Stegostoma tigrinum: one gene and its partners. The protein of the gene in region 1 purifies or fractionates together with the protein of each later gene. This does not show direct contact. Links are inferred from orthologs where the notes say so. Each region holds a gene or a part of one and is shown in the gene's direction. Other genes may lie near its edges.

Region 1 (6,923 bases):
CCAGCAAAGGGCCTCAAAGTAGCTTATAAGAGCTAATTTTTTAAAAATGGATGCTGACAGACAACTTACCAGGGACATTGGAATCAGTAAGAAGAAATGTTATAATTACATAAAGGGAAAGCGTGTGGTCAGGAACAATTGTGGCACACTAAAGACTGAAAATGGGGATATTGTCAATGACTATGCAGAAATGACTGACATGTTAAATGATTACCTTGTCTCGGTATTTACAGTAGAAAAGCAGGATTGCCAAAAGTCCTAAGAAAATCAATAACAGATTGGGGACAGGGACTAAACAAAATTAACGCACACGTAACATTGGTAATGAGGAAATTAATGGAACTAAAAAATGACAAATTCCCAGAACCTGATGGTTTCTATCTGAGGGTTCTAAAGGAAGCAGGGAAATACATTGTAGACATCCCAACTGTAATCTTTCGGAGTTCCCTAGACACAGAATTCTTGATTGGAAAATTGTACTTGCCTGCTTTATTAAGAAAGTCAAAAGAGGAAAACCAGAGAATTACAGACCAGTTAGCTAATATCTGTGGTGGGGAAATTGTTGGAGACTATAATAAAGCGGGGCGGATGGGGGAGGGGCCATAACTAAAAACTGAAAATTTTTCAGTTAATCAAGAAGAACCAGCAAGATTCATGACGTAGGTCATGTCTGACAAATCCCAGAGCTTTTTGAAGAGGTGACTAAGGTAGTGGACAAGTGAATGTCTCTACTCAGTGTTTATAGAGATTTCTCGAAGGCATCTGATAAAATCCCACATAAGAGACTGTTAACTAAGGTAGAAGCCCATGGAATTGAGGAGAAATTACTGGCATGGCTGGGAAACTGTTTGAATGAGAGTAACAGAAAGTATACACAATGGGTGATTACTCAAGTTGGCAGGATGTCACCTGATGAACAGCAGCGCTTCGAAAGCTGGTGATTTCAAATAAACCTGTTGGACTGTAACTTAATTTCATCTGACTTCTGTCCACAAGGATGTATTAGGGCCTCAGTTATTCACATTGTTTACTAATGACTTGGATAATGATATAGAAAGTCATATATCCAAATGTGTTGATGATACAAAGTTGGGCAGTATTGTAAGTAGTTAGATGATAGCATAAAATTACGAAGGGATATGGATAGACTAAGTAAATGGACAAAACAATGGCAGATGGAGTTCAGTGTAAGCAAGTGTGAGGTTATCGATTTTGAACCAAAAAAGGTCACATCAGGGTACTTTCTAAATGGTATGAAGTTAAATATAGTGGATGTCTAAAAAGACTTGGCGTTCCAGTGCATAGATCTTTAAAATGCCACAAACAGGTTCAGAAATTAATCAAGAAAGCTCATGGAATGCTGGCTTTATATCCAGAGGACTAAAGTAAAAGGATGTTTAGAACTCCTTTCCACAAGCCACAGTGGATGCTGGGTCAGTTGTTAATCTTAAATCTCAGACAGTTAATTTTTGTGTTAAAGGAAGGGCTTAAGAGATTTGGGCCTGAGGCAGGAAATGGAGTTAGGCCACGGATCAACCATGATCTCATTGAATGATGGTACAGGTATGAGGGATGGATGACTTACTCCTGTTCCTAGACGTTCAATTTTTGAACCTCTAGTTCTGAAAATACTTTAGAACTGATTTTGCTTCTAGTAGGAAGCAACAAGAGCCAACGCCATGATAACAAAGTGTGAAGCTGGATGAACACAGCAGGCCAAGCAGCATCTCAGGAGCACAAGAGCCAACGCCATACCTTGTTTTATTTCTTGGGAAGGACACAACCATGTGGTCACTTCATTTTTCCAATAATCATAAAAGTTCATCTTCACAGAACTTTAACAGGAAATCATATTTTGACATTTCACACTTTGTTCTATCATTCTTCCCCAGGTGAACACTAATTACTGTAATAATTACTGTCATAAAGTAAATCAAATTATAATCCTCAGTTTGGAATAAAAAAGCTTCCCACCTCCCCTTCAGGCAACTATCCTCTCCTCCGACTGATAATGGTTTCCAGGTTGACTGGGGAGGTAGAAACTAACACACAAACTTTTCATTATTGGTCAGAGTTTATTGTCTAGCTCAGTCTCACAGCTTTCCTTCAACATCCCAACTGTCCACATTTTTATATGCGCTGAAAAACAATTAATACATCTCTCATTTCTCTTAATCTTCACAATGACATTAACAAACTTTAAGAGGAGCAATTTACAAGAGGTATTACCTCCCTGAAGCAGACCACATCCCTGTATAACCAAAATTAAACAATTCCAGATGAAAATTAGTCAAAAAATAGGGATAGCTGTGTTCCCAGCTTGTGGGATATACAAGTTCGATGTGTTCTTGGAAAGCATGTGCAAGAATGATTTCCCTGTGACTTTTGATGTAATTGAATGTAATTGAAAGAAATCCTCCCCTTTCTTGAATAGTGAAGAAAAGTCTATGTGTATAGTCACAAGAGCATGATGAAAACTGAATAAGCATTAGGTAAGAGGGGAATCCATGCTGTGGTTAAAGAGGAGTTCACAATGTCACATAGATGCCTGTCACCAGCTAAGGTTACAACCTTGAGGGAGGAACTGGCCATTACGATAGATGAGTTCCATCATGCATGGGGGTGTAAAACAGTGGACGGTGATGAGTTGATCCACTATGCTAACTAAAATAACTGTACTCAGGCCAGTTTCCCATCATCAGGTCACCCTTTATTTACATGTGCATAGTTCAGGGGCAGTCCTTAGTGTAAGGAGACACTCTGAGAGGCCTATTTATATCTGTCAACCAGGGCTTCCAGATTGACCCAGTTTAGCAACCCCAGTCAGGAATCTCATACTCAACGAAATCTACTTGGCCAACCCTGTTCCAATCCTTACACTAACACAGCCTGGGCCTGGTCTGAAATAATTTTTGCAGGGGTTTGGGGAATGCTAACGTAGCTGCTGTTGAGGGCTCCTTGTTCAGCCAGCAGTCTAGACCATCCAAGAAACCTGCAGAAGGAAAGGCTATCCAAATTCGCTGTTTCCACTGCAATGAATTCGTGCACTATGACCGAAATTGCTGGAGCAAACAGGAAGGGGCAAAAGCCTGACAAGGAGATGAATTCCCCCCTCCTCATCCTTTAGTACACACAAGTTCTGACCAAGTCAAACAGCATCCAGAGAGACTAGATTCAGCAACAGACACAATGAAGATCAGGCAGGGTATTCAGCAGGTCACTGCAACATTGACCCAAAACCCTAGTCCATAATGACTCCTCCGCAGAGGCATGATGTCATCTCTCCGTGATAATGGTTGTGGGAGACCAATATTTCATACTGTTGATACTGAAGGCTTTCGGTGACTAATGCTAACCGACTCCCCTCAAACATTATCCATGATCTTTATCCAGAATCCACAAAAGGCTCAGCATGTGACTTGACAAGGTCTAATACAGGAATCTCTCATCATCAAGTTGAATGTAGATAGGATTGCCAGGAAGAAAGAAAGGGGAGGCAATGACCTAGTGGTGTTATTTCCTGTTACAATCAATGCAGAACTAGGGAATATTCTGGGGATGCCGGTTCCAGGCCCTTCGCAACGGGTGGGTGGTGTTTTCTTTCTTTCTTTCTCTCCTTCTTTTCCTTCCTTTCCCTCCTTCCTTTCTTTCTTTCTTTCTTTTCCCTCCTTCCTTCCTTCCTTCCTTCCTTCCTTCCTTTCCTTCCTTTCCGGGCTGCGTCTGCTCTCCCGACTCCAGTAAAACAATATCATTATTTTAGCCCCTAGCTGCTGTCAGTTGTGAAGTACAGCCAGTGGAGCCCAACCTTCCGTACTGTGTTAGTCACTGTCTCACTTATCACCAGCTGCTCGCGGGCTCACCGCCTCTAGCCACGCCCCCATCCACCCGGGCAGCCAATCGGAGCGGCGGACGGCGCGTCGGGGTGGGGGTTAGGGCGGTGACGTATTTCCGGGTCATTCGCTGCACGGAACGATGTGGATCTGGAGCCTGATGTTTCGGCAGCTGCTCAAGGTCAGTCCTGGTGCCCCAGAGGCTGCTTCCCCCCGTCTCAAAAGGCGTCGTCCTGATCAGGCCCAGAGCCTGCAGGCTTCACCACCCCTCCCGCCCCCCTAAAATGCCAGAGGCCCCTCTCCGCCCCTTCCGCCAAATCCTGGAGACGCCTCTTCCCTGCCCCCCACTCAAAATTCGTGTCCCTAGACCTTGTGACCCCTCCCTCCTCCCCAAACCCCGAATTGCCCCCTCTCGAAAATCCTGGAGTTTCTTCTTTCCATCCCCTTCTGTCCTGCCCCAAGACAAGACCCTGCAGCCTCCTAATGTCTTTACCTTACACCCTTCCACTCCTCATGATCCCTCTGCAATGATAATGCTAATTTATTCTGGTATTTCCTTATTGGGTCACTGTCATAGAATTATATGAAGTGAATGCAATATATATTGCCAAATACACACAATTTTAATGATACAGCTAACAGCTGAATGCCATCAGATTTTTTTTTGTTGCTGATTGAAATTTCAGACAGCATGCCTGTATGGGGTTTTTAACGCTTGAAAGGAGTTGTGACCCAGGTTACTGTACTCTGTCAACCACTGCATGGAAGGAAATCAATGTTTACCTTCGTTCGTGTGAGAGAAGAAGGTCTAGCAGATGTGAGCAAAAAAGAGTACTGAAGATGCAGTGGCATGTTCATTGTGTTTTGAAGTTTGATTCTAATGTTGATTTTTTTTTTCTTTCTGAACACAGACTGGACATGCCTGTCGTAGACTCCAAGGTCTTTCAGCAGTCGGGCTGCGGACCTATGCTGATGTTGCACCAGGTATGGTACTCTGTGGGCGAGAGTTCCACCTTCTAATCATTTCCATGCTGATTTTCCCAATGATTTTTCAACCTTTGTAATGTCTGGCTAATGCTTTCACTATAATATCGTGGTGTACTTTAACCCTAATGGAAAAGGATTATGGATTGCAAAGGGAGCAGAAAAATATATTTGTGGGATTGGACTTGTATACTGGTAGTGCATTGATAAATTTATAAACCTTTTTTGTTTAGGCTAGCTAAACATTTAAATCCATCTTAGAAGTTATACAGCACAGATTCAAGTCTGCTGTTGCTCAAGTCAGTTTAATTGAAATAAGTATCAAACGAACTGCTGGAGGAAGTGGTGGAGGTGGGTACATTTAGAATATTTAAAAGGATGGGCATATGAATAGGAAGGGCTTATAGGAATATGGGGCCAAATGCTGGCAAATGGTACAAGGTTAATTTAGGAATATCTGGTCAGCATGGACAGGTTGGGCTGAAGAGTCTTTTGCCATGCCATACATCTGTGACTCTGTCTTTTCTTTTCAGGCGTGCTTTATGTGCTGCGTCTATTTTTACTCCTCTGTGAGCTCATTTGGCTGCCTTTCTAAAAGTTTGTTGTATGTCTTTGAGCTGAATCTGATGCTAGTTTTATGCACAATTCCCATGTGAGGATAAACTGTTTAATATTGTCTACTATTTGTGGTTTAAGGTATAGTTTCAGGCCCAAAGTTAGGTAAAAGTATCTAAATTTGTATTATTTGCCAGTCCTTGTGTTAGAGGAATGTTTGAAGCCATCAATGGGGCTTGTGAAAGTCTCTTGTCAATTCTAATATAATAGCTGATTGCTCTGCTCTGTTTAGTAGTTTCTGGATAAAAACACTGGGATGTCATTTGGAGATAGTAAGGACTGCAGATGCTGGAGTCAGATAACATAAGTGTGGAGCTGGAGGAACACATCCCGGCGAGACAGCATCAGAGAAGCAGGAAAGTTGACGTTTCAGGCCTGCACCCTCCTTCAGAAATGGGGAGCAGGGAAGGGACCTCAGTAATAAACAAAGAGGAGGGGTGGGGCTGGTGAAGGTAGCTGGGATGGCGATAGGTGAGTGTAGGTAGAGAGTGGTGGGGATTAGTCAGTGAGGTGGGTGGGTGGATAGGTGGGAGAGAAGATGGACAGATTGTCAGATCAAGTAGGCAGGGATGAGGAGGAGAATCGGTCATGGGATGAGGCTGGGGGGGTGGGGAGATTTTGAAAATGGTAAAATCCTCATTTAGGCCATCAGGTTGTTGGCTCCTGAGGCGGAGTATGAGGTGCTGCTCCTCCAATTTGTGGGTGGTGTCATTGTGACACTGAAGGATACCCAGGATGAACATGTCACCCGGGGAGTGGGAGGGGGAGTTGAAATGGTTCGCGACTGGAAAGTGTTGTTGTTTGTTACAAACAGAGTTCAGGTGCTGTACAAAGTGGTAGCAAAGTGTGGAGCTGGATGAACACAGCAGGCCAAGCAGCACCTTGGGAGCACAAAAGCTGATGTTTCGGGCCTACACCCTGAGTCTGTGGTTGGTCTCGTTGAATACAACAGCAAGCCATATCGGGAGCGGCGGATGCAAGAGCCCATGTTGACAGATGTGCAGGTGAACTTCTGTCTAATGTAGAAGGTTTGCTTGGTGACTTGAATTGAGATGAGGGTGGAGGTGTAGGTGTAGCACTTCCTGCGGTTGCAGGGAAAGGTGCTGGAGGTGGTGGGGCTAGTGGGGTGTGTGGAACGGACGAGGGATCACAGAGAGCGGTCTCTGTGGAAGGCAGATAAGGGTAGGGAGGGAAGAATGCCCTTGGTAGTGGAGTCAGATTGTAGGTGGCGGAGAATGATACGTTAGAGCTGGAGGTTACTGTGGTGATGTGAGAACAAGGGGGATTCTGTCTTTGTTTTCGTTGGGTTAGGGCAGAGGTGCGGGAAAATGCGAGTAGCGGTTGACAGCATTATCGACCTCTGAAGCGGGTGTTGTTACGGTCCTTTGAAATAAGAGGACATCTGGAATGTTCGGCAGTGGAATGCTCCATCTTGGGAGCAGACGAGGTGGAGAAATTGGGAGTAAGGATTGCCTTATTGCAGCAAGGTGGTGA
Region 2 (7,272 bases), on another chromosome or scaffold:
TTCATGCTGTGGATAAGGGGCAGTCCATTGCTGTACTATAATTGGATTTTGAGAAGGCATTTGACAAGGTACCACATAGAAGGTCACTGTGTAAATTAAAAGCACATGGTGTACGGACAACATGCAAAGAAGGACTAAAGATTTGTTAGCTCACAAAAAGACAGAATAGGCTAAAATGGATTTTTTTTTCCTGATTTGCAGGATGCAACGACTGGAGTACCGCAGTGGTGAGCGATGGAGCTTCAAAGTTTTACAATTTTCATCAATTACTTAAGTGGGGGAAAGGAAGAAATGGTAGCTAATTTTTTGTTTGTTGTGAAGAGGACATCAGGAAGTTGCAGACCAGTAAGTTGGTTGAGTGGCAGACTTAAGTTAGGTTAACTCAACCTAACTTAATAGATTAAGCCTGGCAGACAAATTTTTCACCTTGGTAGTATTAGGAATATATATTATTCTGTCAGTACTATATGAAAGAGGAGAAGATAAGAAACAATTTGGATATTTCCTGGATTGAAAAAGGTACTCTGTAGTCTTACAAAGAATGAATTCAACAATTTAATATGTGCTGTACCCACCTGATGTTTACAGAATTTTTTTTTAAAAAACAGAAGCCAAGCAATGAATTCAAGGAGAAAATAATTTGGTTTATGACCACAGATACACAAAAATATGGTTTTGGAAAAAAAAAATCACAAAGGGGGGCTCCTATGCTAGTAATTATCATGCAGCACTTTCTGGACTCCATTTTCTATTTTACACTCTCAATGATCAGTAAGCAGCAAACTTCTCTCCTGAAATCATTTTCTCGGTAAGGCTTGATGGAAACCTGATTAAGTTCCTAAAGGTAAATATTTCTTATTATCATGTAAAGCCTGAAAACTGGACTGTGACTACTTTCCAAAGACTCTGGTAAGGTTGATTGCAATCATTTTCCAACGGCTGTCAGCAATTTGATTTCATCAACAGAAAACCTAGCTGACTACGAAGTCATCATATTCTATGTGTTTTCAACACTGGGCCAACAGTGGTGCTTTTGTCCCTTTTGCGTTTAGTTAATGCATCGTCTCTGGACAGGCTGTTGTCTTTTTGTGTTGAGTGAGAATGTGTGTGTTTGGAATCAATCTAATTCTGGATCACTGTTAACCTGTGTTTGCCACTTATTTGTAAGCCTAAGATTTATGTAATAAGAAATACATTATTTTGAGTTCATCAAAGAACCCGGTGTAGCTGTTTTATTCTGGATAATGTTACAAAAGAGAAGCAATTGACCATGTGGATGACTGAATCATAGTCATGAACATTTATACTAATGGTGTGATTCGTGGAGGAGTGGGGGTTAAATTGCTGGAAATTTCCTCCTGGGACAGTCAGAGTGCAGAATGAATAAACTGTATTTTACCTAAACAGAGAACAACCGCAAAATTCCAAAGTGCAGAAAGATCTAGGTGTTCTAGTGCATGAGCCCTAAAAAGTTATTATCCAGGTACAACAGATAACTAAGAAAACTAATGGAATACACATCTTATACAAGAAAAATGATCATAAAGTAAGGACGTTATACTTCAGCTACACAGCGCATTGGAGAGTTCACAATTCAAATACTGTGTGCAGTTCTGGTCTCTTTATTTAAGGAAGGATGTAAATGCATTGGAGTGATTCAGAGTCAGTTTGCTCGAATGATACCCAGAACAAGCACATGTCTAATGAAGATAACAAAGTGTGTCGCTGGACGAACACAGCAGGCCAAGCAGCATCTCAGGAGCACAAAAGCTGACGTTTTGGGCCTAGATCCTTCATCAGAGAGAGGGGGATGGTGAGAGGCTTCTGTGCTCCTGAGATGCTGCTCGGCCTGCTGTGTTCATCCAGCTACACACTTTGTTATCTTGGATTCTCCAGCATCTGCAATTCCCATTATCTCATGTCTAACGAAAATAGGTTGGGTGGGATGGTTTTTACCCGAGTCCAAAAGTGCATGAAGTGACTTGATGGAAGTATACAGCTCCTGAACAGTCATGGGGCAAGCTGGATGTGGAAATTAAAGCCTGACTATTAGGAAACACTATTTCCAATCCAGACCAGATTAAAATTACCCATTTACCCTTAGAAGTAATTTGTGCTGATGATTCCTGAAGGTGGCAGTCCCTGTTGTGACCCTGTGAAATCCACGAACAAAGTGAAATAGCATGAAAACCACGCAGCGATCAGTGTGCCAAGTGCTGAGATTTCGATGTCCAGCCACTTTGACAACTTCTATAAAACTGTAAGTAATAACTGGGGTTGAGTGGCAACTGGGTGAGGGAAGTAAAATGCCAGAATAGTTGGATGCCATCTGAGTAGGATGGCAGGTGGGTAGGGTACCAGGTAAGTGAATGAGTGAGTGTTTTGGGTCAGGAACTGTCGATTCCAGCATTTGGTGGTTCATGGCTCAGTCAGGCAGGCGAGGAGCTGCTCGGTTCCGGAGAGGTCAGGGTAACTGGTGAGGGTGGATCGGACCCAGGGAAGCGGAGGGTGGGGTGGGGCTAAGGCCATGGGGAAAGTCTGTTCCATTCGGGTCGGAAAATGTCATTGGATCAGTCAGACAGAGAGGGTGGTCGGTTCTGGGAGACTGTTAGCTGGTGTGAGTTCGGGTTGGGGGCTTAATTGTTGGTGTGGTCTGGGAATGAGGCGTCGAGCCCAGAGGCCGATGATGGGGGAAGAGTATCCATTCCAGACCCGGGGTGGGGTCAGTTGTGAAGCTGGCCGGAGGTAGGGGGTTACGTGGCTTTGAAGGCCTGTCAGGTACAGCAAGGGAAGGAATGATGGAGCTAGTGTCCAGGACGGAGCGGGAAACGGTCACATATGACAGGTGAATGGTGGTGGGTGGACCACCTAAAGAGGGGTGGGGGTTGTGGGGAGGGAGTGCAGGGGAGGATTGTGGAGACAGGGTTTGCAGGGGGGATTGTGGTGGGGGTGGGGTTTGCAATGGGGGGACTGTGCTGGGGCTGGGCTTTGCAGTGGGGGGGACTGTGCTGGGGCTGGCGTTTGCCGGAGGGGGGAATGTGCTGGGGCTGGGCTTTGCAGTGGGGGGGGACTGTGCTGGGGCTGGGCTTTGCCGGGGGATTGAGGCGGGGCTTGTGTTTGCGGGGGGGGGGGCGGGAGGGGAACTGTGCTGGGGCTGGGGTTTGCCGGGGGATTGAGGCGGGGCTTGTGTTTGCGGGGGGGGGGGCGGGAGGGGAACTGTGCTGGGGCTGGGGTTTGAGAGATAATGGGAACTGCAGATGCTGGAGATTCTAAGATAATAAAATGTGAGGCTGGATGAACACAGCTGGCCAAGCAGCATCTCAGGAGCACAAAAGCTGACGTTTCGGGCCTAGACCCTTCATCAGAGAGCTGGGGTTTGTCGCGGAGTGGGAGGCGGTGTGTATACGGGATTGTGGGGGCGGGATTTGGCGGGGGGAGGAGGGATTACAGGGGCGGAGTATGCGACGGCGGGCCATACACAAATCGCCGGGCGAACGTGTGGCAGCGTCCGTGCTCAAAAAGCAGAGTTAATACTTTCGCGTTCGGCTGCAGTTCGTCAGACCCGATCGTAGTTTGCAAAAGGTTAGTAGATATAGACTGAAAACGACAAACGCCGGGGTCAGTCAGCACCCGTGGAGCCATCAACGCCGTGCACCGACATGAATGTGCACACTCCACTCCACAATGCAGCAACACCGACTCACTCACCCTGTCTCAAAGCTGCGCCGGTCCCAAGTCTTCACTTCACCCTTTGCCTCTTCCGTCGCCTCAAGAAAAGACTTTCTTTCTTAAGGGTATCGAGGTATGCAAGCTGCAGCGCTGGCTCTCCATGGACGCTGTCTGAGTTGCCGCGACCTCCAGCGTTTGCAGTAATTTGCTATTTCGTTTAGTGTAGAAACCATTTGATTCCTTCCAGACTGGACATTACCCATTTCTTAGCTTGCTCACACCATCTCCCTCTGCCCTCCACCCCCACCAATCGGTCACCCCTACCATGCTGAATTCTGCTCTCTCTCCAGAGAATGCTGCCAGACGTGCTGAATTTTCGCGGCAATTTGTTGCTTTGCTACTGATTGGGCGGGGGAGGCGGGGCCTGGACGAAGAGGCGGCCGTGGGAGAGGGGCGGGGCCTACGGTGGATCGGTCTGTGGGTTTTGGGGGGGGCGGGGTGATAAACCAGCGAAAGTGAACGCCGCCGGGCGGGCGTGGTCACGTCGCGCCCCACATTGTGCGCGATTACGACAAAACGGTCCCTTCTAATATATATTACAATTGGCCAGCAGTCAGGGCCCCTCCCCCCCCACCTCCGTTATCGCGCGCAGCAGTTTACGTCAGTAAGAGACTCCTTGAAGGGTGCAGGGAAAATGGCGGCGCTGAGGAGCCTGCTCCGTGGAGGGAAGGTGCGAGCGTTCCCTGCAATGGTGGCGGCAATTCATCGGTTAATTGCAGCGGCTTCCGGATCTTTGTATCTCTGCAGTAACGCTGACTTGTGTTTGTTTGTACAGAGTACTTTTGGTGTGTTGTCGCGGAAGAGGTTTCATCGGTCGGCTGTCGCCGGCGCTCAGGTAAGAAGGGTCACCTTCGGTCACTGCCTGTGAACGAGAGGAGTTTGTCGTTTTTTTTACCGCGGCCGGTTATCTCTGCTGTTTGTTTAGTCAAGAGTCTGAGGAATTTTGCCTCCTTTATAAGAAGGAGGGTCACCGGACCTAAAACGTCAACTCTGCTTTATCTCCACAGATGCTGCCAGACCTACCGAGTTTATCCAACCTTTTTTTTGTTTCCGGCTTTAGTTTAATGTTCCTGTTTTTAACGGCAGTTTTTTTCTCCGGTATTGTGAAATTAACGGTTATGCTTTCGGAGGTCTTCTATTGAACGCCGCTACTGGAAACAAGCCCCCTTTTTTGGGTTGGATTAATGATTTCAGTGGACGTCGAATAGATGTTTTCCTCTGGATAGCCTAGAAAAAGAGGTCGTAAATGTACAGTGAGAGAAAAGGGGTCTCAAAACTGAATTGAGGGGAAACGACCTCCTGAGGGTTGTGAAACCTGTAGAGGTCCCTCTCTGGGAGTGCATCATTGGTGGAATCAATTATCAGATTCAAGAAAGAAACATATATTTCTGATGAGAGGTGGGTAAAGGCCTGTGGGGACTGTAGTCATTGCAACAACTTCATCTAAGTTGACCTCATAGAATATGATGTCCTTGATTGTGGCTGTTAATGTGGTCCAATCAGGGAGCCCCTGGCTGACAGATATAAACAAGAATGTCAGAGGTTCTGCTCACTAGACCTGGCTCTGAGGAAGCCAGACCAGTGTTGAGAACTATGCACGTGCGAATGACTGATAACTCAGTTTAAGGGATACCGGGGCTGCGGTGGAAGTGTTTCAGGGGTGACGAGAGTGGGATGTAGATATGGCTGTATTGTTCGGACAGTGCCCAGAGTGTCAACTAGGACAAAAATCACTGCTAGCAGCTCCCCCATGTTTGTGAGAATGGCTGGATAAACCCTGGTCTCTGTTAGAAGTCAACTACACCAGTCCTTTCATGATCTCAACAATGTTAGTCACAGTGGATGCCCAGTCAGTAGTTGGGTGTGCATAGCGTTCATTCATCAAACGTGGCAACAACAATTGAAAAGTTGCATCTTTGGCAGTACTGGGCTCCTGGAAGTGTTGGCAATGGACAGTGTGCCATCATTTACCAGCAGGGAATTTGAGTATTTAATAAAGCTGACTGGCATTAGCATTTAAACACAGCTCCATGCCACCCATCATGCAGTGGTCTGGTGGAAAGAGCAGTCCAAACCTTGAAGGCAGGTTTAAAGAAACAGCCTGTAGCCTCGCTCAATACCTAACTGTTGATTATCAGACCACCCTTGTGCAACTACAAGGATAGCTCCAGCAGCGTTGTTCATGGGGATAAGATTCTGCAGCAGATTAAATCTGATCTTCTCAGACCCGAGGTGGGAGGGGGTCGAAGTGTGAAACGGTATCAGGAACAGTAATGCCGGACATCTCTCTTCTACGTGAGAGAGACGGTTTACTTCAGGGGATGAAGTTTGGTGTTGATACCATGGAAAAGAGGAGTTCAAAAATGTGAAAGATATTAATGGAATGTTCTCTATAGATTATAGTGTAAGGGAGCAATAGTGTTTTCACATCACAGCAACCAAACTGTTAGGGTACATTTCTTGAGGATGATTGGCATTGATTACACACTAATAGAATCAGAATAAGACATAGAAAGTGATAAAGCACCATGTAGTTTGCATACTCAGACATTGGACTGTTGTGAGGAACAGATTATGGCAGGTGAATGGGTGACTGAAGACACAGCATTTATAGAAACGTAGGATAAGGTTATTTGCTTGGTTAAGAGGCAAGATCAGATCCACGACCTACAAAATTCGGGTAGGTGAGACGGTTCTGAACAAGAACGTGGACACCATGAAACCTGTAAACTTTCAAACAGGCAGGAGCAAAATTTAACTGATCTCTCAACAACTGGAAAGATTATGGAAACCCATAAGTTCGTTCTTTCCTCCCTCCATCTAACATGGAAGAAATTTCAGCAAATGAAAATGGACATGCGGATGCTGTAGCCTTGACCCCTTCGCTGCCTGATAGAGGATGGCTTTCCAAAATGCTCCGAGCATGAGAGGTAGGCTGGTCCAGTATACGCTGCCCATTATCAGAGTCTGAGTTAGACGAACCAGACTTGGTGTGAAACTGCCTCAGGAGAGGCTACGAGGCAGGCCTATATCCTTGAATTTAGTGGGAGAGGGATGTAGTGATTACAGCGACGTCAGCCAGGTGAACCTCCGGATAAGTTCCCTGTTTGCAGATGCGTCAGAGGTTCTACTCACTCTGAGAAAGCCAGACCATTGTCAAGTGCTTCACGTGCAAGTAAAGTGGGATGCCAGCCTCTCCAAAGTTATTTTGGGCAGTAGACAGGAAAGTGGGGTTGAGACCAGGATAAGATTAGCCATGATCATGTTAAATGGCAGAGCAGACTTGAGGGACTCGATTGCTTACTCTCTCCTAATTCCTTTGTTGCTATGTTTAATAGTATTAGAAGTGCTTTCCTTAATTGTGAGCTTTGTTTATGGTTTCTTAGTGAATTTGTTAATTTTCACCACTATTTATGTAGGACTGAGGAAAGGGCAAACAGAACATATAATATTTGGGAATGACTTTTGGACTGGCAAAGTATCTGGGAGGAGGACTTGAAACTGATAAATGGAGTGATAACTAACTGAAAATCAAAATGCCCA
Region 3 (7,047 bases), on another chromosome or scaffold:
TTTTTGTCAACTTGAAATTTTTGACTTGCAAGTTTAAACGGAAAGTACTGACTTCTCTCCGATCAATAAAAGAAATGTTGGGTGAGCATCAAGTTCCCCCTGCTGTCCTGTCACAGAATAGCTTACTGGAGATTTGGCATTTATGAAGGCCATAAATGCATTTAAAATAAGATTACAAGAAAGGTATGGATTTTTAGTCTTGTGTGTAATGAGGCCAATTTATTATTTGCAATTTGATTGCCCAGAATGAAAGGCATAATGCATGTGTGTGTGTTCTCCCTTTAATGAAACTGAGCCATACACAAATATATTGGTCTGTGATACATTGGTTAGATAAACAATTCAGGTTTCAAAATGTGTCACATACAGCAAGCGATACTGCCTTGATCTTTAGAGCCAAGTGGAATTTTATTGATCTCATTTAGGATCAGATTTCTACAAAATTAAATAATGAAAATTAGAAGTTAGGTAAAGAAGAAATAGGATTTCTAGATTAAGATTTCTGGAAAAAGTGCAGTCTTTGAAGGATTTCTCTGTCTTGGTAATTCTGTTCCATTTTAAAAAAATCATAATAATATCACAAATGTTTCAAGTATGATTGCTTTTCAGAGTCAGTATTCCTGTTTTTTGTTTAGTTTTTTTTAAATTGACCATTATGTGACTGCTATACCACTGTTTGGAGATTTATAAAATTAACTCCAGAACTGAATATGGATGTAACTAATTTAGTTGTATCTGTTGGGAACTGGAACAGTAAGCTTTTTATAATTGGATATTTATCAAATTTGAATTACTTTTTCACGACGGGCTATTTAATTTAAAAAAAAGGTTTGTATTGCCACTGTTTTGGATATTATATGTTCTGGCGCTATGGTCAAAAGACATCAATAGTACTAGACATTTAGCGTAAGTGCCATAATAATTACTGCTGTGCAGTTTGTTTTAACGGAACTAAACATTTCAAATGGTGCAGTGTATTTAGTTTATATCTATTATAAGAAACTGTTTTGTTATAACCAAGATTATTTGATTTGCATCAACTCAATTAGTCCATATGATGGCATCCAGAGGAAAAAAAATGAAGTTTGTTATGATGAGGATTGACTATATAAAGATACTGGTGTTTTTAAAAAAAGACTGCATTTTCAATAAAATATGTATGAAGTTCCTTTGTTATGCAGGGATTTTATTCTGTGTTATCCTGAAAAAAGCCCTTATCTCTCAATTGTGAACAGCTATTGTGTTAAAGATGAAGATTATATGTATAGAGTTGTTGCAATTTTATATATAGTTGCTCACTATTTACGGCACAGAAGTGAGCCATTCAACCCAAGGGGCCTATATTTTTATTAATGCTGCACATGAGATTCCTGTCGTCCAGCATTAGCTTTTAGTGTAACTTTTGATTCCTTTCTCCCTCTTGTTCTTATCTAGCATCCCCTTAAATATATCCATTATAATTGTCTCAACAATTCCACATGGCAAGTTTCACATCATAACTACTGAGTAAAGAAGCTTCTCTTAAGTTCTTTATTAGATTTGAGTGACTATCTTGTACATATGACCCCTAATTTTGGATTCCCTCAAGCAGGAACATCATAATTAAGTGATCATTGCTGTTATTGGAAGTGATGTTGCTGTTTTGTACTTGAACTGAAATGAATCAGCACACAACTCTTGACAGATTGTTGGACTGGTATTGATAGAATATCTGTTGAGGAAAATTGGAAAATAAAAAAAGTTTGGACTGATTCCAATTCATGGGAGGGGAATGACGATCTTGCAGTTGGAATCAGAATTCTAGCAGTTGTGGAATGCTACTGGTCAACTGCAAAACCATTTACAGGCAAAGACCTAAGCCTACTGGCCAGAGAGAATTTAAGTTGAGTAATGCAAATGCGCCGCATCAACAACAGAAATTGCAAGATATGCTCAGGAAGAGGGAGGGATGGCACCGGATCTGGAAATATGCCATCTTCTAAAATAATGAAGTATTTGAAGCACAACTCAAGGTCTCGCAGAATACTAACACCATACACTGCCAAGTTGAACCTGCAACAAGAGACTTGAGTCAAGAGGTAAAGCATTGAACTTCTAAGTTGAAATAAAAAGAATGACTTCTATTTTAAGTACGAGATAACACTCTGACTGTTGGGGAATTGACCCAATGGTAAATTTCACTGGTTGTTATTATCATGTATATCAAAACTGGCCCATCACTACAAGTCATGATCAGTATTTTTGTATAAAAGAGTCATACAGGGAGGTTATGATAAACTTTGGAGCATACGAAAGGTAACTGGATGTTCACAGGGGCTAGAGTGCCTCTTGTCAGATGGAAGGTTAGATATCAAAATGAACCATACAGGTGAGACAAGGTAGTGCTGAAGGATGGATATAGTTGACTGCTTTGAGACTGGAGCAGCTAATCAGGACAGAAAGAGAGAATGCACCATTGTTACAGTCACATAAAATGTCAACACTGATCTTGCGAAGGGCAGTTAATATGATGACTGTAATGCTAAAGGAATTCTTAAAAAAGAATATGAAGATGAGTGTACAGCATGCAATGCAATCATGACTAGATAATTTGTTGCTAGGGTGGCATGGTGGCTCAGTGGTCAGCACTGCTGCCTAATAGTGCCAGACACCTGGGTTTGATTCTAGCCTTGGGTGACTGTGCAAACTCCACACAGACATTCCCACCATGTCTGCGTGGGTTTCCTCCAGGTGCTCCAGTTTCAGTCCATAGTCCAAAGATGTGCAGGTTAGGTAGATTGTGTTCAGGGGTGTGTAGGCCGAGTGGATTAGCCATGGGAAATGCAGGGTTATGGGGATAGGGTAAGTGGTGGGATGGTTTTCAGAGGGTTGGTGTGGACTCAACAGGCTTACTCGCCTGCTTCCACTCTAGTGATTATTTGATTTTCTGAACTACCCCATTAGCAGTTATTGCAATAATAAAAGCTTGTGGTGTAAGGGCTGGTACACTGACATACATAGAAGGTTGGTTGAATGATTGGGCTGGTTGAATGCATTAATGAAGATATAATTGCCAAATTTACTGATGTCAGAACATAGCTTTCCTCCTAACAGAGTTGTATCACTTGTCACAAGGGGAATTAAATACAAAAAAATCATGATTCTATTATTCTATATTGATTTGAGGAATAAATATTAGTCAGGACGACTAGGTAATTTCCCTGCAGTACAGTTCCAGGAACCTTTTTAGATGTCAAGACCTGTGCTCCGAAACCAGCTGAATCCTTCCTGTACTCCTACAAGGTTATCATCTACGTGACACTGTGGAAAATCACTCAGTTGTGCCTTCTCTGTAAGACTGTGGACAAATCCAACTGTATTAATTAAAGTTCTATTGACCCATGTCTAATTTTAGTGATGGCACAGAAGAAATTATCAGTAATGCTGGAAAGTAATACTTGCCAATAACTTGCCAATGGTAGGATTCCTCACAGTAGATATTTATAAATAAACAGTTCAGATATGTTGTGTTACACCTTTGAACGAGGTGGGACTTGATCATAGGCCTCCTGGTCTGGTGGTAGGGACAGTATCACTACAAGAACGCTCTTCTTAGAGTAGGTATTTTCTAATCAACCTGTTCAGAGATGTAATTACACACCTCTGGAACAGGTAATGACTTCAACCCTGGCCTCCTGGTTGAGAGGTAGGTGACTAAGCATGCCTTGAGACCCATAAAGATTTCAAACAACACGTCCAGGCATGTTGTTGTTTTTATTTAAATAAATAATGTGGAAAGGTATAAGGAAAAAGCAGGATCTTCGTAATAGGTAATGACGGTCATTTGAAGAGCTTGTGCAGTGCCGAGGGCCTGAATGGTCTCCTGCACCGAAACACTGCGTGATTCTGTGAAGGGAATGGGTAATGATGGTACTGTGAACAGCTGAGGCAGTCACGATGGACTGAACGGCCTGCGGCGTACTAAGGTGCCACGTCATCATGTGAAAGGTAAAGGATGTCCATGGAACCGAAGAGTGAGTCTCCGTGATGTCACATCCGTTTTACGACTGTGGCCTTTGCCGTACGGCAGAGGTCATTGAGGAGACGCTGAGCCTGTACGCCCCTCTCAGCTCCGTTCTCCGGCCTCGACATGCTCCGTCAGGCCGCTAGGCTCAGGCCGTGCGTCCGGCTGAAGCCCGGCTCCCGGTCCGAGCGCCGACCGGCGATTGCGGGGCTCGGTTTCGGGCCGCCTCCTTCTCGCTGCTGGGTCTCGCTCACCGCCTGCGGGAGGCAGGGCCCCGGCCCCCAGCACTTTCTGCTGCCCAAGAGCGCGTTACCGGTCACGGCCACAGCCAGGAGATGGTACAGCCTCCCCCCACATCAGTTGGTGAGCAACATTTTGGGAATAGGGAGAGCTAGAGCACAGAGGTGGCAGCCTTTTGATTCCCGTTCCTTCGTCAGCTCCTGAGGCTTTTCCTGTTCTGTCTGTAGCTATATGTTCTCCACTGATTGCCAAGATCTGGGTTCCAGCCCCAAAAATGCCAAGGCTTTTTGTCACTCCAGCACGGTGGCTGCTGCACGGCCTTTTGGATGAGATGCTGAAACTGAGGCTCCGCCTTCCCTTGGATAGAAGTTGAAAGAAAAACCCGGCAGTGGCACCATGTTCGGCAGCCACTGCCCTGGAATGGTTGCCCATTCTGCCAGTTCGCGCGTGTGAAGTTTCCCCTGTGATGAGCGGAGAGTTGTGTGGCTTTGAGGGTGGATGGATGTGCTGAGATTTTGGGAATAGGGATGGTGAATGGAGGTAGACAACAAGTGTAGAGTAATGTCGACAGTGGAATGAGTTGGTGCTGACTGGGTGCATGCACTTGTCCCTGTATGGTGGCAGCGGTTGGAGTATTTTAAGAAGTGGTGATTTGTCCCTAGTACCCCTGATGAATGTTTATTTCTAAAATTGCTGTCACAGCAGTTTACATAGTTATTGTAGTTGTGAACGTTTGCTGCGTATAAATTGGCTACCTCTATTCTGACAGCAGTAACTTTAAAAAGTACTTTGTTAGCTGTAAGGAAGTTTCAGTTAGTGGCTATGAAAACTGTTGTATTAATTCATAAACTGCAGTAATATTTGGGTCAGTTTCTGCTGTTTTGTCATCCATGTTATTTTGAGTTGTTGGGTGTCTTGCATATTTTGATGTGTTTATGAAGTATTTTATTGCTGCTATATCTGGTTTTCTCTTCCTGGTAAAACAAATTCAGTTCTGTGTGTTCAGCTATTGCTTTGTGTACTACAGTAGATTCTGGAGAATATCTAGAAATCCCTTGGCTTGCAATCATAACTTGAGGCATCTGCATCAAAATGATCAAATCATTTAGCATAGTAGAATTTAGATTTATTTTTAGTGAAATCTGAGATGGTTGTGTTTGTATGCTGACATGAGTAGCCTACCTGTGTTAATGTTTGACACAGGTCATGAGGAGTTTGGACGAAGTAAGTGTCGAATTGAAGTATGAGTGAAACCTCCTGCGTTGTTGAGTTGTATTGATTTTGGTTTCTGCATTTTTCTAACTATAGCAAGTTCAGACCAGTTTTCTTGAAATACAGTACTGAGAATGATTTTTGTAATTCCTGTTACTGTACTGTACGACAGCATGCGTGGCTTGATTTGGACACAACTCTAATTGACCAGAGTTGAGAGTTATAGTCAAAGTTGCATTGTACGCTGAATGCCCAGTTTGTTACTGTTCAGGTTTTGAACAGGTTAGCTGAAAGTTTCTCGACTAAGTATGTGTTTTCAGAGAAATGAGACCTGTTTACTGATCTGATGCGATGTTCTAAAAGCAAGTTGATGTATTTCCAGCCATCCTGAAATCTATAAATCTCTTAATCTGCAATGAAACCCCTGATTGATGTACAAAATCTTTTGAACTCATCACAGTATTTATCGGTTACCATTTCTTTAGTTTCTGCTGTAATTTTTGTCATGACAGTTAAATTTAGACTAATGATCAAATAATGGACTCGTTAAAATAATGATATTTTCTCAAAGATGTTCTTTAATCAGTTACAGAAGTGTTGTGTAACTCATCATTATTTTATTTATAGGTGGCATTGCCTGCTCTGTCTCCCACAATGCAAATGGGAACTATAGCCCGGTGGGAGAAAAAGGAAGGTGATAAAATTAATGAGGGAGATTTAATAGCAGAGGTATGTGCAGTTAACACCCTGTTTTGTCAACATGCATTAAAGAACTTTTTAACAAGCGTATATATAAATAATTTGAATGAGAGTATAGGAGGCACGGTTAGAATGTTTGCAGATGATGCCAGAATTGGTGGCATAGTGGACAGTGAAGAAGCTTATCCCAGATTACAAAGAGATTGTGATCAGTTGGATCACAGTGCTGAGGAGTGGCAGCTGGAGTTTAATGCGAGGCATTGCATTTTGGTAATACAAACAGGACTTACGCAATTAAGATAGGACCCTGGGTGGTGTTGTAGAATAGAGACCTAGGGGTTCAGGTTCATAATACTTTGAAGCTTGCAACACAGGTGAGCAGGGCAGTTTAGAAGGTGTTTAGCCTGCTTGCTATCATTGCTCAAGCCTTTGAGTATAGGAGTTGGAAAATCATTGTTGGGGGTTGCACTGGATGTTGGTGAGGCCTCTTCTGGAGTCCTGTGTACATTTCTGGTTGCCCTGTTGTAGGAACAATATTATTAAATTGGAAGGGGTTCAAAAAAGATTTACCATGATTTTTCCAGGAATCGAGGATTTGAGATATGAAAACAGTAGTGAAAATAGTCCCCTTTCCAGACCTTAGGAGGTTGAGAGGTGACCTTATTAAAGTTCATAAAATCATGAGAAGCCGAGATAAGGTGAATGACTAGTGTCTTTTCCCTTCTTGGGAGAGTTCATAACTAGGTGGCATATTTTAAAAATGAGAAGAGAAAGTTAAAAAGGACCTGAGTGATAACATTATTTTTTACACAATGGTTTACATGTGGAATGAACTTCTAGAGAATGTGGTGGATGTAGGTATAGTTACAAAGTTTTTAAAAGGTATTCGGATC
Region 4 (6,958 bases), on another chromosome or scaffold:
GAAAACCAGAATGAATCCACCTCCACACACACAGGCAGTGAATTCTACACCCAAACAACTCACTGCAAGAGTTTCTTTTGGCATGATCCGATACAGAGTCAACTTTTTGTTGCATCATTCCTCCAAATGAGACAGGGAAGAGATGGACAATTCTCAGCTATGCATGGAAATAGATATGGAGCTCCTTCATCAACAGCCAAAGTAACAGCAGGATAACCAATAAGGGAAACTACACTTTATAACACATGGACCACTACTTCAAAGCACAAAATTAAAAATTAGGTGGTGGAATGACTAATCTACAATTGTGCCAATGATCCATAAGAGAAAACATTAGTAAAATAACGAGAAACTGTTTCCTTTCCCTGAAGGAAAGTCCAGTGCAAGGGAGCATTCTGCTTTGAAAGAGGACATTGTTCAGCCATTTTTGGAATACTGTATTCAGTTCTGGTCACCTTACCAGATCTTGTGAAACATGAAAGGGTTCAGAAGTGATTTACAATGATGTTGCCAGAGTTGTAAGGTTTGAGCTATAGAGAAGCTGAATAGGCTACGGCATTTTTCCCCTGGAGCATTGGAGACTGAGGTGTGGCTTTATAGAGGTCTATAAAATCATGATGGGTATGGACAGGGTGAATAGCCAAGGCCATTTCCCAGGGTAGGTGAGTCCAAAACTAGAGGGCATAGGTTTAGGATAAAAGGAGAAATGATTTGAAAGGGAGCCAAGGGTCAACATTTCCATGCCGAAGATGGTGAGTGTATGGAACGAGCTGCCAGAGAAAGGGGTGGAGGCTGGTACAGTAAGAACATTTTAAAGGCACCAGGATGGTTATATGAAGAAGAAGGGTTTAAGAGGGATTATGGGCCAAATGCTGGCAAGTAGGACTGGCTTAATTGGGCTGTAGGGTCTGTTTCCACACTGTACACTGAATCTATAAAGGGTCACTATACCTGACACTAACTCTACTTTCTATTCACAGATACTGACAAACCTGCTGAGTTTCTTCATCAGTTTGTTTTTGTTCTATTATACAAGAGACCATCCTGTTGGTAGACTGAGTTTATCCAGTTGCTAAACTCAAAAGGCTTCCTTTTTTTTTGCTACATTGTGGTCATTGCTCAAATCAGCCAAACACCTTTCAGTTTTTAAGACGGTCATGCGGGACTCCCAGTATTAACTTCACAGATGCTGCCAGACCAGCTGAGGTCGATTTTCTCCTTTCTTCGGCATTTTCAGTATCTGTTTTAGTAACATTACAATGGGTTTCTGCATTGCGAGGCTGGAAGGAAAGAAGAAACTACCCACTCGACTGGCCTTTGCTATTGGAACTTCTCTATCCAGGACACGAAGATAAAATAAACTTAGCCACAGTAGCGTACCTCCACACAGGATTCAAATAGCACACACACTCTGAAGGTGAATAAACAGTCCTAATCTTCCTTATGGCTGAAATTCCCAAACTTGCAACAACAGAACAAAAAAAAAATTGCTGGAGAAACACAGTAGGTCTGGCAGCAACCATGGAGAGAGAAATACATACAGTCAACACTTGAAGCCCTTCTTCAGTACTCCAAACATACAGCTGGAACTGGATGGGAGAAGAGGGGAAGGGGAGGTGCTGAGGACGAAATAACCTAGACTGGAGGCTGTTCTATATTCTGTCTAACGTCCTAGCCCACGTGCAGTACCAAGCTAAAACAAAAACTTAAAGAAATTAAAAATTTTCTATTCCATTTGGCCACAGCACTGATGCAGTCGTTAACCTCACATTTAGAACCGGATTCTAAAGTGTAGGTTGAAAATTGAACCCAATTTTTCCGTTTCAAATACAGGAAGATCATAAGTGATGATGTACGACTATTACATTTAATGATGTTTTATGAAGGAATGCACTTATTTTTTGCACTTTTACTACATTTCAAATACAAACATAACACATTTATAGGTTAATCAGCGCCGACTCTCCACATATAAAGGATTTAGTTTTTATTTATGACTTTCTTAATGTTAAGTCGGAATTCGTAATGTCTGTAATTACTGACCTTGCACGAGATGAGACACAATGCGGAGTGTTACTTAAATTTTAAGTTTGTGATCGCAACTGCTCTGAAATCGTTTGTAAAATGCAAGTAGTATCTCGTATCCTGCGAAACACGGAAGCAAGCAACAGTTTGCAGCTAATAACTAATAAACCTGCGACACCTAAGAGATTTCAAATCGGGTTAACAGCCCGGCCCCTCTTCGCATTGACTTGCTGCAGATATATCTATCCTATCATACATTGAATTATTCTTGCCTTAAAAAGATATCAACTGGATGAAAATTCGAAATAACTTCGTTCAATTAAAGGCTCCAAAAGGTACATTTTCTAAAAAAGTTATCTATGGTCTCCCAAATAAATATATTTCAAACGATTTTAATATTTCTAAGGACGTCAACGAAATCTTGCATAGGGCAGCTTCTCCAGTCTAAAAGTAATCTCCTGGATGATTTCAAATCAACAGCGTTAAAAACAATGATAAAATCTGCAAACAAAAATGTGGCCAGAAAGAAATAAACAAACCTTGGTCTTAGCCAGAATAAAATACCATTGAATAAAGGCGGCGTAATTTCATTAACGCACTAACAACAGAATTTACGGAGAATGATCGATTTGCCGGCGGCTCATCCACATAAACCTTGCTTGATACCTGTACCCAAGATCAACTTTCACTCACAACGCACTTTAGTTAAAAACAAAATCAGAAAACGCAACACGGCAAAAAGAGAGTTATTTGCCCCCGAGAGCAATTGGACTTTAAAAATAATATTACAAACGAGACTGGGCACCAAGTTGAATTTATCCCTTCGCCAGATGATGTCTATGCAATAGAAGAGCAAAGTGCCTTGAGATGGCTTCATAAATCGTTAGCACAGAAACACAGCCAAGACGGGCCACTGAGTTTTATCTTGTTAAAACAGTAATAAAGAGAGCGGAAAAAAGTCTCAGTCATCCGTCCATAATCTCTCAAGTTAGCAACTGATAGTCAAACAGGACGGCAGTTCTTGCCCCACACCTTCTAGGCCAGAAGACGAGACAATGCCACTGCGCCAAGAGCCCTTATTCAATCAGGAAGGCATATCAGAGACAAGTATATCATTTAACGTAATTATTACCGTGTCGTTAATCCAAATAAGCAGCAATTAAATAACAATAACGAACATGCATTATTAAGGGGGAAAGACTGGTGATAATACGGTAACCCACACTCACCATAAGCATTCAACATTTAGGGCAAGGGTGATGATTGTCCGGGAACACAACACTCACCATAAAGTTCAGCATCAAGGGTAAAGAGTTCTGACAGTACTGCAGCCCACATTCACGATGAACATTAAATATTAAAGATAAGGATGACTATAATACAGTAACCCACACTCACCGCACAACTCTCCTCTCAAGTACACTTATCACTCCAGCAACTCTCGTCCGCATTCATTCATCCTCACTCCTTAAAAGGAGGAAAAGGGCGTACCCACAACCACCAATCCAAAGCCACCTACTAACATCTATGCAAACGACCAGGGTGTGGCACAGCCCAAGAGCGTAAGGGGGTGGATGACATTTTAACGAGGCAAACATCTAAATTATATGACAGTATTGTTTTAAAGAAAAATTAAAATAATGTTTGTTCCTAAATATTTAGTTTTAGATATATACATTGTTAGTTTGCACCTCTTTACTACCGACATGGTGTTACAATATTTGTTAACTATCCCCCTTATTGTTAATATTCATATAGTCCAGCAGCAGACTGGGCCAAACCATTCTATCAAAGTAAGTGTATCATGATTACTGAATCGAACACTCATCGAAAAGTCGATTTTTCGTATAGAGTTATGATGGCTGTTACTCGGGTGAGAAGCTGAAGCGGGTTTATTTCTAATATTTCAGACAATACACCACATCACCGCCTAACTTCCCTCCACCCCATGATCTTTGGTATTGGTATGCGCCAGCTGGTTTCCGGTCTCGGGTCTGTCTGCTGGAGCTGCAGCGCAGCCATGTTGTCTCGTTCCCGGTGCCTGGCACGGAGTCTGAGCCGCTTCACCGCTAGCCGCAACCCGGGGGGCTTGCAGGTAGGGGACACTGGAGAGATTCTCCGACCCGGGCGGTCGGGAGGGTGGACGGAGCTCATCTTCGAGCCGGTGGGAGACAGAGATCGCCGAGGAGGCCCGAGGCCTTGGCCAAGGACAAGCTGTCACCCTGAGCAATAGCGGGGAGACTATGCTATGGATATGTTTGACTGGGTCAGCTTTCACCGCTCCCCTCTCCCGGGGTCGTTTCCCATTATCCTCAGCCACGTTCCACGGGCCTACTTTCACCCCTACCCGGGGCCGGCCTCCTCCCTCAGGGTCGCCTCTCCTCCTTCTAGGCTCCGCTCGCATACCCGCCCACCTCCCTCCTCCGCCGGGGTGAACTCCTCCCCCTTCCCCGGTCAATTCTTTTACTACCACCTTTCCCATCCGCAGGTTCGCTCCTTTCCCAATCTCCACCCCGGGGCAGACTTCTTCACCCACCCTCCTGAGGTTCCCTCTTTTCCCACCTCCTTCCCCTGATCGGCTCGCCCTCCCCGCTCCCCCCATTAACGTTTCATTAGTCCTTTCAGAATTGTTAATATCCAGCAGTACTTCACTGCTGATCACTGAGGTGAAATGTCGTATTCAAAGTTATGTACAACATTGTTTTATAGGGAATGATGAGTTAGGTGACCAATTTCTTTCTGTGATTGTTGGTGAAAAAATAATTGCTCATTAAGTAGGAGGACTCCCTTTCACTTCAAAACGATCGTATTTGCTTTGATGTTATCCAAAAGGGACTGAAGACGATTTGCCCTACATATAGTCCGAATTGTAAGCCGAAACAAGTTATTCTGATTTGGGAATAAGGGAATTTGTTTTGCAAGTGTGAAGGAATGGTGATCTATAGAAATGAGAAATATAAAAGGCAGTATCTGTATGGTGGATGATTTGATTATTAAATGGGGGAAAGAAAAGCTACAGGTGTAACTTCTACAAACTTGATCAAATATTTGCCTTGCCCAAAAGGTTAACCTGATTCTTTTCATTTTGAACCCTGGTAGAAAGGATGTGAGAACTTGTATTGTACTTTAATGATCTCTATACATCTTGTAGTATTTTGCAATAAATGCATTTTTCAAGCATTCTTTTGATCAGATAATTTGCTTAGTGAAGTTGGCTAAGGGATAAACATTGGTCTGCACAAATGTGGAAAATTTTCTGGTCCTCTTCGAAATAGTATCATGGGATCTTCTGCATTGTCTGGGAAGGCAAATGGTTGCTCAATTTATAATGTCCTATCTGGGAGGCAATACTTGCAGCAGTGCAGCATTTCTTTATTCACTGCAATATGAGTCTGTTCTTTAACTAAATCTCTGGTGTGCACCTTGAACTCAACCTTCTGACTGAGATATGATAGTGTGACTGTTGAGTCACAGTGAACAGAGTAGTTAGTGATCTTGATCCAAGTACAGTAGCTACTCAATGGACAATTTTTGCCTATTTTTCCATTAACATAAATTCTGCAAAAGGTGCTTTGAAGATCCCTCAATAGCTCAGTGAGTTTTTTCAATGTGTATTTGAGCTGTGCGGATCAGAAGGTTCCATCTGCAGTCTCTGCTGAGCAAACTTTCACCCAGAGGAACCTTTGTGTTACTACAATTGTCTGACCTCACTGCTTCATTCCCTGTTAGGATTCTTGCAGATTAATGAACCTTAGATCGGATTAAGGCCAAATCCAGCTGGCTGTGAACTGCCCGTGTTGTATTTATTTGTAAAGCCTCTCAAATGAGCTTTAGCCACTAAGGTGTGATATTGTAATCTTTCTGGTGTTTGTAGAAAAAAAAATTGCTTTCATTTATATGCTGTGTTCTATAAAGATTTATAAGCTATCCAGGAACCCATCAGACAACAATGGTTCACTGAGAGAAGGCCTGTAATGTAAAATACACTTCACAAATAGGTATAGGAAATGAATACCAACCTGCAAAGTGAGATGCTAGGATGGTACTGAAAGTTTACGCAGTTTGAGAAGATTCTAAAGGTGTCAAAGGAACTTCACTAAAGAGGAGCAAGGCTGCTGAAAGCTCTATCATAGGTAGTGAGGGGAGAAGGGCATGGAGGCAGAATTCACAACCCATGTATAGAGCTTCAAAAGATCTCAGAAAATCTCTATGAAGTAATTAGAGCAGGGCATTAGTGAATCAGCAATGGGTGAGGTTGATTGTTTTTTTTAGAAAAAGCACTGGAAAATCTCGTTAGCTATGGGAGCGTTTATGGTGAGAAAAACAATTAATATTTCAAGGCCAAAGTGAATTTTTGTTCTAAATAAGTCACACTGGACTTGGAAAAGTTCGTTCTTCCCCTTGCTACGCATACTGCCAGATCAGCTGTGTTTTGCTTTTATTTTAATCTGCTGTTCTTTTATTTGGATGTAGCAGTGTTTTGGCTAAGCTGGAGTCCATTAGAAATTGATGATGAAAAGACAGACGACGTAATATAATCTGGAGGCAACGCAGGAGCAGATAGCGTTATGTAGTTTGAAATAAATCGGCTTGGTGTATGTGACCAAAAATATTGTTAAAGTGGAAATTTTCAAGCTGTGGAAGGAGAATTAATTTAATGGAAAAGAAGCATAGCTGATTTAAACTGGTAGCTTCAGACAGTAGCAGTCTATCTAATGCATATTATCTAAGCATGAAGTGAATTCTCTAGTGGCCGTGTATCTCCTGGAGGCATTTTGTAGCATGAAGCATGCATGAACAGAACGTTATGGGCGTGCTTAGAATGTGTTGTTTGATATTGCACCCACTTCGGTCTGATAAATATACTGGTGCCAGTTATGTTAAATGGAGGATATTTTTTGACTGTTCTCCATTCAGGCCTTAGTTAGGATCA

Evidence for each region.
Region 2: the proteins of dldh (region 1) and pdhb purify together in Homo sapiens (affinity purification with mass spectrometry; 3 studies listed by BioGRID and IntAct, counting the BioPlex papers as one, with this or other methods). This does not show direct contact. The link is inferred for Stegostoma tigrinum from reciprocal best matches to the Homo sapiens genes DLD and PDHB.
Region 3: the proteins of dldh (region 1) and dlat purify together in Homo sapiens (affinity purification with mass spectrometry; 4 studies listed by BioGRID and IntAct, counting the BioPlex papers as one, with this or other methods). This does not show direct contact. The link is inferred for Stegostoma tigrinum from reciprocal best matches to the Homo sapiens genes DLD and DLAT.
Region 4: the proteins of dldh (region 1) and dlst purify together in Homo sapiens (affinity purification with mass spectrometry; 3 studies listed by BioGRID and IntAct, counting the BioPlex papers as one, with this or other methods). This does not show direct contact. The link is inferred for Stegostoma tigrinum from reciprocal best matches to the Homo sapiens genes DLD and DLST.

The regions. Positions count from the first base shown.
Region 1 is NC_081378.1:53,699,790-53,706,712, reverse strand, and holds the start of dldh (dihydrolipoyl dehydrogenase, mitochondrial), read left to right. Parts: upstream 1-3,898; 5' UTR 3,899-3,972; coding exon 3,973-4,011; intron 4,012-4,741; coding exon 4,742-4,814; intron 4,815-6,923. UniProt on the Homo sapiens protein: Lipoamide dehydrogenase is a component of the glycine cleavage system as well as an E3 component of three alpha-ketoacid dehydrogenase complexes (pyruvate-, alpha-ketoglutarate-, and branched-chain amino acid-dehydrogenase complex).
Region 2 is NC_081364.1:52,374,822-52,382,093, forward strand, and holds the start of pdhb (pyruvate dehydrogenase E1 component subunit beta, mitochondrial), read left to right. Parts: upstream 1-4,266; 5' UTR 4,267-4,363; coding exon 4,364-4,399; intron 4,400-4,504; coding exon 4,505-4,564; intron 4,565-7,272. UniProt on the Homo sapiens protein: The pyruvate dehydrogenase complex catalyzes the overall conversion of pyruvate to acetyl-CoA and CO(2), and thereby links the glycolytic pathway to the tricarboxylic cycle.
Region 3 is NC_081385.1:12,808,264-12,815,310, forward strand, and holds the start of dlat (dihydrolipoyllysine-residue acetyltransferase component of pyruvate dehydrogenase complex, mitochondrial), read left to right. Parts: upstream 1-4,041; 5' UTR 4,042-4,129; coding exon 4,130-4,366; intron 4,367-6,082; coding exon 6,083-6,184; intron 6,185-7,047.
Region 4 is NC_081363.1:17,465,012-17,471,969, forward strand, and holds the start of dlst (dihydrolipoyllysine-residue succinyltransferase component of 2-oxoglutarate dehydrogenase complex, mitochondrial), read left to right. Parts: upstream 1-3,957; 5' UTR 3,958-3,973; coding exon 3,974-4,120; intron 4,121-6,958. UniProt on the Homo sapiens protein: Dihydrolipoamide succinyltransferase (E2) component of the 2-oxoglutarate dehydrogenase complex. The 2-oxoglutarate dehydrogenase complex catalyzes the overall conversion of 2-oxoglutarate to succinyl-CoA and CO(2).